Linked DNA regions of Bombyx mori. The protein of the gene in region 2 purifies or fractionates together with the protein of the main gene of each other region. This does not show direct contact. Links are inferred from orthologs where the notes say so. Each region holds a gene or a part of one and is shown on either strand. Other genes may lie near its edges.

Region 1 (3,373 bases), on a different chromosome or scaffold from region 2:
ACCCGTGGAGTAAGCCTACTGGGGAAACCACGTTAAAAAAACGCGCTAAGTACACTACCTCATAGGTGTCGTGGAAACGTGTGCTATGTGAACCCTCTGACTAGCTAATTTTTGATCTATCTTTAACTGAACACCTGGGATTTGTGATTTACCTTTTAAAAAAGATGGCATATTTATACTAATTCCTTTAGGGGCAAACAGATCCTGTACATTAAAACCTCTGTCTGCGATAATACTATCTCCAGAATCACAAATCTGGAGCAGCTTACTTCGTTCTAGTATCTGTCGATCACTTGCAGAACCAGCGTAGCCGTTTAAAACATATGATAATAATCCCCCTGGTGAAGCTCCTACCAAAAATTTCACGGTATTTTTATGTTTATAACAACTAAATGACGCTATTTGAGCATCAGGTTGACTAGGCTTCTGTATGCCTATTTCAGTCCCATATATAATCACCCTTGTGGAGGGATAATGTGTTCTAAAACAATTAGGCATATAATAATTTAATAAGCTGCGGCTAGGGCAAATGTCAATTAGGCTCTAGATATCACTGACAAAATTTATCCATGTTACAACAATATTAGACACTTCAGTTTTACTTAATTCAAAATCTGTTGTGTTTCTTCTAAGCTTAATTAGTAACATTAAAAATTGATCTTCTCTTGATATGCCGACCACTCTACTCCAGCGAGTTTTTATAGTCAGATTCCACAAAGTGTTTACGACATAACCTCGAATTTTTTGTGGGAGTACTTTTTTCGTGTCAAATGGCCTTTAACCGCAGTCTTCCAATTTTCTTGTCCTTCGAGAATTGATGTACTCCAATTTCTGAGGATATTGGCACAAAACAACGCGTCATTGTGCTTAAAATAATTTTTAATCAAAAGTTCCAATACAAATATTGAATGTTATGGGAACAATGCACACCAGCGCCACTTTGACAGTAGCCAACCCCATTTATTTCGCTCATCTAAAAGAAGCAGTTGATCGGAGTGTTACACTAATTTAAGTGTGAATTATTTTTTGTTGCGTTATAATAAAAAAATAATACAATTTCAATTATCTAATGTCTTAGATCTACTCATTTTGGTACAAATCAAATGGTTTTTGTTGAAAAGATTAATTATTCGATATTTCGATCTCAGATCGCGTTCCTAATGTCAATTGTCAAATATTGGTCTCTACCATAGATTATACACTTATGTCTACTATCTATGCTATCGTCATGTCGAATTGCATTTGGTTAATTTTGTGAAATTTACTACAATTTGCTATCTAAAAACTTACAGTTTTTTAACAATGTCAAATTTATTTAAATTGAAACTAAGTGCATTAGGTCATCCAAATCCAGAGTTCTTTAACTGCGAAGGTTTTGTTTAATTTGATGACCCGTTCGTTAAAACTCGTGAGTGAAGATTGTAAATAACAAGTCTCTGCAATTTTTAGATGAGAAGGAGTACAGAAGTGTGGTGCTGTGGTTAGAAGATCAAAAAATAAGGCATTACAAAATTGAGGACCGAGAAGGGTTGAGAAATATTGATTCCGATTTCTGGAAGGAGGCATACAATACGTATCAGAAAGATTTGGTGAGTCCAGCGGCAGAAGGGACGCTGAATGAACAACTCAATTGGCTATTGTCGTATGCGGTGCGGTTGGAATACGCGGATAATGGTAAACAGAAAATTTTAATTAAATATTTCATGTCAAATTATTTCTTTACTTGCTACCGTATTTTTCTTTTTTAATACTTAGACATTTAAACAAGCTCATTGCCCAATTGATATTAAGTCGTTACGGGAGCATACAGAGATAACTTGAATGCTGCATGTTTGAGACATGAAGTCTAAGACTCCATTAAAACATAGCAATTATTCCACCCTTCAGACTAGAACACAAGGCTCTCCTCTGCGTCATAAATAGGCAGGGTGGTGGTGTTTACCCATGTGGGTTTACAAAATGCTCTATGATCAGTAATCATCAAAATTTATAAGAATGTCTAATTTTATTTTACAGTTGACAAATATAAAAATGCTAAAGTTGAAGAGAAAAAGAAAGCTCCCAATGTCGTGTCTTCTAATCCATTAGACAATCTGGACTGTAAGTACATCCATAATAAAATTTAGAAAAACATTTTAATTTCTAACTATCAAAAACTAATTTTGTAATTACAATTAAATAATTAAACTTGTTTAAATAATTGCCAACAAGAATTGAATTTGTTACTAATGGTTCTAAAATTTTATTAATATGTTAGCTTAGATTATCTTGATTCTTCTTTATTTCTAATGCTTTTAATATTCCAAACTTCAACTTCAATTCTTTAATAAAATTCCGTTGAGGCCCTGATCTCTATACTCATCACGTTTCTTTGGTGATCTTTGGTAATATTCCAAATCTATTTTCAGTCTCAAGTCAAGCATTCAAAGCAGGTGTCAACAGAGTCTGTACAGTAGCGAGCATTGGTCCTCATCCAGATCCTAAAATAAGACTTGCTGCCTTAGCCAAAGTACTGAAAACTTCTCCGCATCCGGAACCCCTACAAACTGAAGTCAATTTAGTTAATCAACCCTCAGATGTGTTAAAGTTACTGTTTGTTCAGGATCTTAGAAATTTACAAACAAAAATTAATGAAGCTTTAGTTGCTGTCCAAACTGTTACTGCTGACCCTCGAACTGATACCAAACTCGGTCGAGTAGGAAGATAAAATGTTCTTCACTAAAATTTTGTAAAATTATCTTAACATTTTCTTCACGAAATCACAATGGCGAAGAACTGAAGCTATTGTTTTTATACTATGTTATGTAAAACCATATTAAAATGATAATAATTGATCTGCTGAGTACTAAAAATAAACTGTGCATTAAATTTCGTTTTTTCATTTAGATTTTTATTTTTATTTGGGTTATACCAATTTAACTTTAGTCTTATTCACTTTTTTATTGTTAAGATGTATGTAATGTAAACCTGAGGCTTGTGGTCTAAGTCTTATTGGTGGTCGTTCTACACTTCAAACCAGAATGACCAGAATGACTTATTATTATATACTAGTTATTATGGGTAGTGTTGGTATGTTGTTGGCATGTGCAGGCTCACAAGGCTCCCCTGTACCACCCATAAAATTGGTTTAGTTTTATTTGTTGGTGTTGTAAGCAGACCAGCAAACATCTAGTAGCTGCTTAATACTACATAGATTAGTAAGTTACAGCAATAACAAGATAACTGAAAAAGTTTTAAATTGAAATATGTACTCTTTTTATCTTATGTTTCTGTAGAATGTTCAGAATGTTAATTACATAATAATTCGTAAGTTTTATAATCAAGGATGTGTAAAAATAAATTTGATAAACATCAAAATTAAATATTCTTGGTA
Region 2 (4,079 bases):
GAGTACGCACGGGTAGGTACCACCGTACCGCCTATTTCTGCCGTGAAGCAGTAATGCGTTTCGTTTGAAGGGTGGGGCAGCCGTTGTAACTATACTGAGACCTTAGAACTTATATCTCAAGGTGTGTGGCGCATTTACGTTGTTGATGTCTATGGGTTCCAGTAACCACTTAACACCAGGTGGGCTGTGAGCTCGTCCACACATCTGGCAACAAAAAAAAAAAAACTACCGAAACATCAGAAATTTTCCACAGCTAATTTATGACATGTCATTTCGAGTGAGCGCACCAATATGGAGCTTTATCGTTTTGAGAAATTTCTTAAAATATGTGTTTTATTTACAGGATGGCAGAATATAAATTTAAAGACATAATTCTTGAAATTTGCGTCTCGAAAGTAGTTGAAAGTAAAATTCTTTCTTCTAAGGTTTCAACTATTAGGAAAAAAAAATTGACAGGCTATAGAAGAAATTTCTAAAAGAAAAACGTTCCTGTACATGAAAACGAGAACTGCCGGTTCATTAGCCCGTTGGAATTACAGCGTGTGGAAATGATAACTGGTGGTAGGACCTCTTGTGAGTCCGCACGGGTAGGTACCACCGCCCCGCCTATTTCTGCCGTGAAGCAGTAATGCGTTTCGGTTTGAAGGGTGGGGCAGTCGTTGTGACTATACTGAGACCTTAGAACTATATCTCAAGGTGTGTGGTGCATTTACGTTGTAGATGTCTATGGGCTCCAGTAACCACTTAACACCAGGTGGGCTGTGAGCTCGTCCACATATCTAAGCAATAAAAAAAAAATAAAAAAATAAAAAATTACAAAACCCACTGAAGCCGACACGAAATATGTCCTACCACTAGTAATACGAGATTGGCGACAGAACTATGCGCTGAGAATACTGCTGCTTTTTCTGTAGTGAATCTGTTTTATGTGGGATTCGTGTTTATGAACTTCGATTTTCAATTTACAAAAATCCTGTTCTGCTTTAAGGCATAATAAGTTATTTAGTTATATTATTTATTGTGGTATAATTAAAAAAATTAACATTTACATTCTAACTTTAATTTCACCTTCTACAGCAGACAAAAATCTCATATATTTACGAGGCGCCTCATACAGTTGGAAGCTTTGGGTTCGTGATTTCGTGCCTGTCTATGCGTGCCTGATTCTAATGCGTAATTATTTCATGTTTAGTTTCTGTATTCTTGGTGTTTTGTGGCTTAAAGGAATAGAACGCAGGGCTCCATCCATGAAATGTCTTGACTTCAATTGTCTTATCGATGGTTAAACGTTTAATCTATGAATAAAATATAAAGGACCTGGAACGCCGGCTGAAATCTATTTTTCAGAATTTCTTATCCCAAGTAAAACTGTGTTTTAGTCAGTAATTTAATAAAAAGTACAGAGCTTTAGTAAGAGGTTATTGACTAAAATGGAAAACGAAATATTGGACTCACTTAGCGACTTGAGGTATGTACGGTTATAATTTTTTGTAGGTTTGATCAAGTTAAAATCACCGGTTCTATTATTTTCACTTAAAAATGTTCTTTAAAATGGATAAATTAAGAAACTTTAAAACGACACGTTAGCGTTACCGAAAAACATTTCGCAATATGGTAAATTCAGAATTAATATTGACAGATTCAGTTGGTTTGACTATTTCGATATTCTTCGTTGACAACATAGAATTCCTTAACCTAACGAATACTATTACCTATCTACGAGTATATATAACCTAGCGTTTTTAAGCAATCACGATCAGAAAAAAAGCGGACCATTTTTTTTTTTTTCGGTGTTCCCTCGTCTTATACATAACTAAACCTACTCTCACAGTTCAGTCGTGTATGACCACGAAAACTGTAAAGTGTTCCATATGTCGGAAACAATATAATCACAATAAAAACGCTAGATTAACCATAAAAGTAGTTTTATGTAGTAGTATTGTGAATAATGGTTTTTCTACCTAAAAGAGGTACAATTTACAGTCTTCCACTAGTCTATTTCGTTAATCCTACATGATATATTTCCTTCCTTTAATATATCTTTCTCTTAATATAAAAGCATTGATTTCAATTTTATTTTAGTTTTTTTTTTATAAATACATGTCTATATTAACAGACCTTTAATGTATTAAATTAACCAAGTATGTCATTTGATCTGTAATTTTTTGTGTAAGACAAGTCATAAAACATTAGAAAAAATTTTAAGCTATGAAGGCCCACTCTCCGAAGAAGCTGTCTTTGCAAAGGCTATTGAGGGAGGTGCCAAGTCCCTTGACTTCACCAAACTTGTGCATATATTGGCTGAAGAGTTGAAGAATCTCTGTCACCTCGAAGAGACTGTAAACATGATTAATGATCCAGACGATTCAAGCTCTTTCCTGCTGGAACTTAGTTCATTTTTGAAAGAATTGGGATGTCCCTACAAGAAATTGGTAACAGGTGTGTAATTATTAAACATTAATCACCAATATCTATATATATAAAAATGAATTGCTGTTCATTAGTCTCGCTAAAACTCGAAAACGGCTGGACCAATTTGGCTAATTTTGGTCTTGAATTATTTGTGGAAGTCCAGAGAAAGTTTAAAAGGTAGATAAATATTAAAATGCTTGGAATTAAATGAAAATAACAATTTAGTTTTCCCTTTGATGGGTCTCCCGTTGGACGGATTCCTTTTGTTTGTTTTAAGTTTATACAAAAGCTTAGCTCTTTTATTTATCGATTGAGGCACTACGAAGTCTGCTGGGTCAGCTAGTAATACATAAAATAGAGAGGGTAATCAAAATATTTTTACTTACATAGTCACAATGATTTATTAAATAGTTATTTAATAGTTAGTACCAGTATTCAGAAGCAATTTTATAGCCTGTGGTCTACTAGGGTGTGGTTACAATTATCATTTAAACCAGAGTCAGAATGATGATACCTAGTTTGATGTTATCATGACCTACAGGATAAGTCATCTGGTACATCGGTATTGAACAATGTGATTGTGCCATTTCTTAAATACTACAACATGGTACCAATTTTTCTAATGTAACTAACACACATTCACGAATGATTTCCGTGATGAAGAAATAACAGTGTAATAAAAGTGAAACCTGCAACAATTATAATTTGGATAATAAATGATGGTCAGTGGTGGTCAGGTGGTCTGAATCACCACTGGCTGTGCTTGCAGTAAGGGCTGTTAGTTCAACAACCTTAATGGATTTGTATAATAATAAACTATTAAACTATGTTCAAACAGGTCATATGTCATCTCGACTACAATCTAAAGACGATCGTCTGTTACTGCTTGATTACCTGATCTCCGAGCTCATGGCAGCTAGAATGGTGAATGTAGATCGTCCACAAGATAAGGGCTCAGGCATGGAGATTGTTATGGTATATACTTAATCATTTAATTTCAACCATTTATTTTGAATTAAGATTATGCTGTGTAATTAAAATAGGGCTTTAAGTTTGGAGTCATTATGATCGCCAAATATTTTTGTTCAAGTCTAAATCTTGCATAAACTGGGTGGCCGTCCTTATTCTTGATCTCTTTGGGAGCATATAATTTGCTCAATGCAGAAAATATATTATCTTTAACAGCTACAGTTTATTTAAAAAAACTGAAATTCTAGTCTTCAACAACCATACACTAATTTTCAGCGTGAATCTCCAACAGCCAAAGATCTCAAAGATATATTGATTACTCTAAAATTCAACAAACCACCACCGAATATCACTCCAGAAGTGCTATTCTCCAAGCTGGAAGGAAAGTTAAAGGATACCATACAAAAGGAAGGTAAAAATATATATTTATTTTTGTAATCGAATACATATTGCATATATTAAATTGCTTATAATAAAATACTTTACAGTTTTACTAGATAAGTAGGTAGGCAGCGGCTTGGCTATGCCCCTGGCATTGCTGAAGTCCATGGGCGACGGTGACAACTCATCATCAGGTGGGCCGGATGGTCATCTGCCTACAAGGGCAATAAAAAAAAAGATTTTATATTTTTGATTGATTTAAAAATTTTACTATTTCATTTGATTGATGACATGAGTTATATAATAACATTGATGCG

What was found.
Region 1: the proteins of protein FAM98A (region 2) and RNA transcription, translation and transport factor protein purify together in Homo sapiens (affinity purification with mass spectrometry; 4 studies listed by BioGRID and IntAct, with this or other methods). This does not show direct contact. The link is inferred for Bombyx mori from reciprocal best matches to the Homo sapiens genes FAM98A and RTRAF.

What each region holds. Positions count from the first base shown.
Region 1 is NC_085119.1:4,409,192-4,412,564, forward strand, and holds RNA transcription, translation and transport factor protein, read left to right. Parts: upstream 1-1,151; 5' UTR 1,152-1,302; coding exon 1,303-1,372; intron 1,373-1,449; coding exon 1,450-1,674; intron 1,675-2,016; coding exon 2,017-2,100; intron 2,101-2,408; coding exon 2,409-2,707; 3' UTR 2,708-2,868; downstream 2,869-3,373. UniProt on the Homo sapiens protein: RNA-binding protein involved in modulation of mRNA transcription by Polymerase II. Component of the tRNA-splicing ligase complex and is required for tRNA ligation.
Region 2 is NC_085130.1:5,588,749-5,592,827, reverse strand, and holds the start of protein FAM98A, read left to right. Parts: upstream 1-1,264; 5' UTR 1,265-1,430; coding exon 1,431-1,468; intron 1,469-2,206; coding exon 2,207-2,439; intron 2,440-3,250; coding exon 3,251-3,387; intron 3,388-3,657; coding exon 3,658-3,793; intron 3,794-4,079. UniProt on the Homo sapiens protein: Positively stimulates PRMT1-induced protein arginine methylation. Involved in skeletal homeostasis. Positively regulates lysosome peripheral distribution and ruffled border formation in osteoclasts.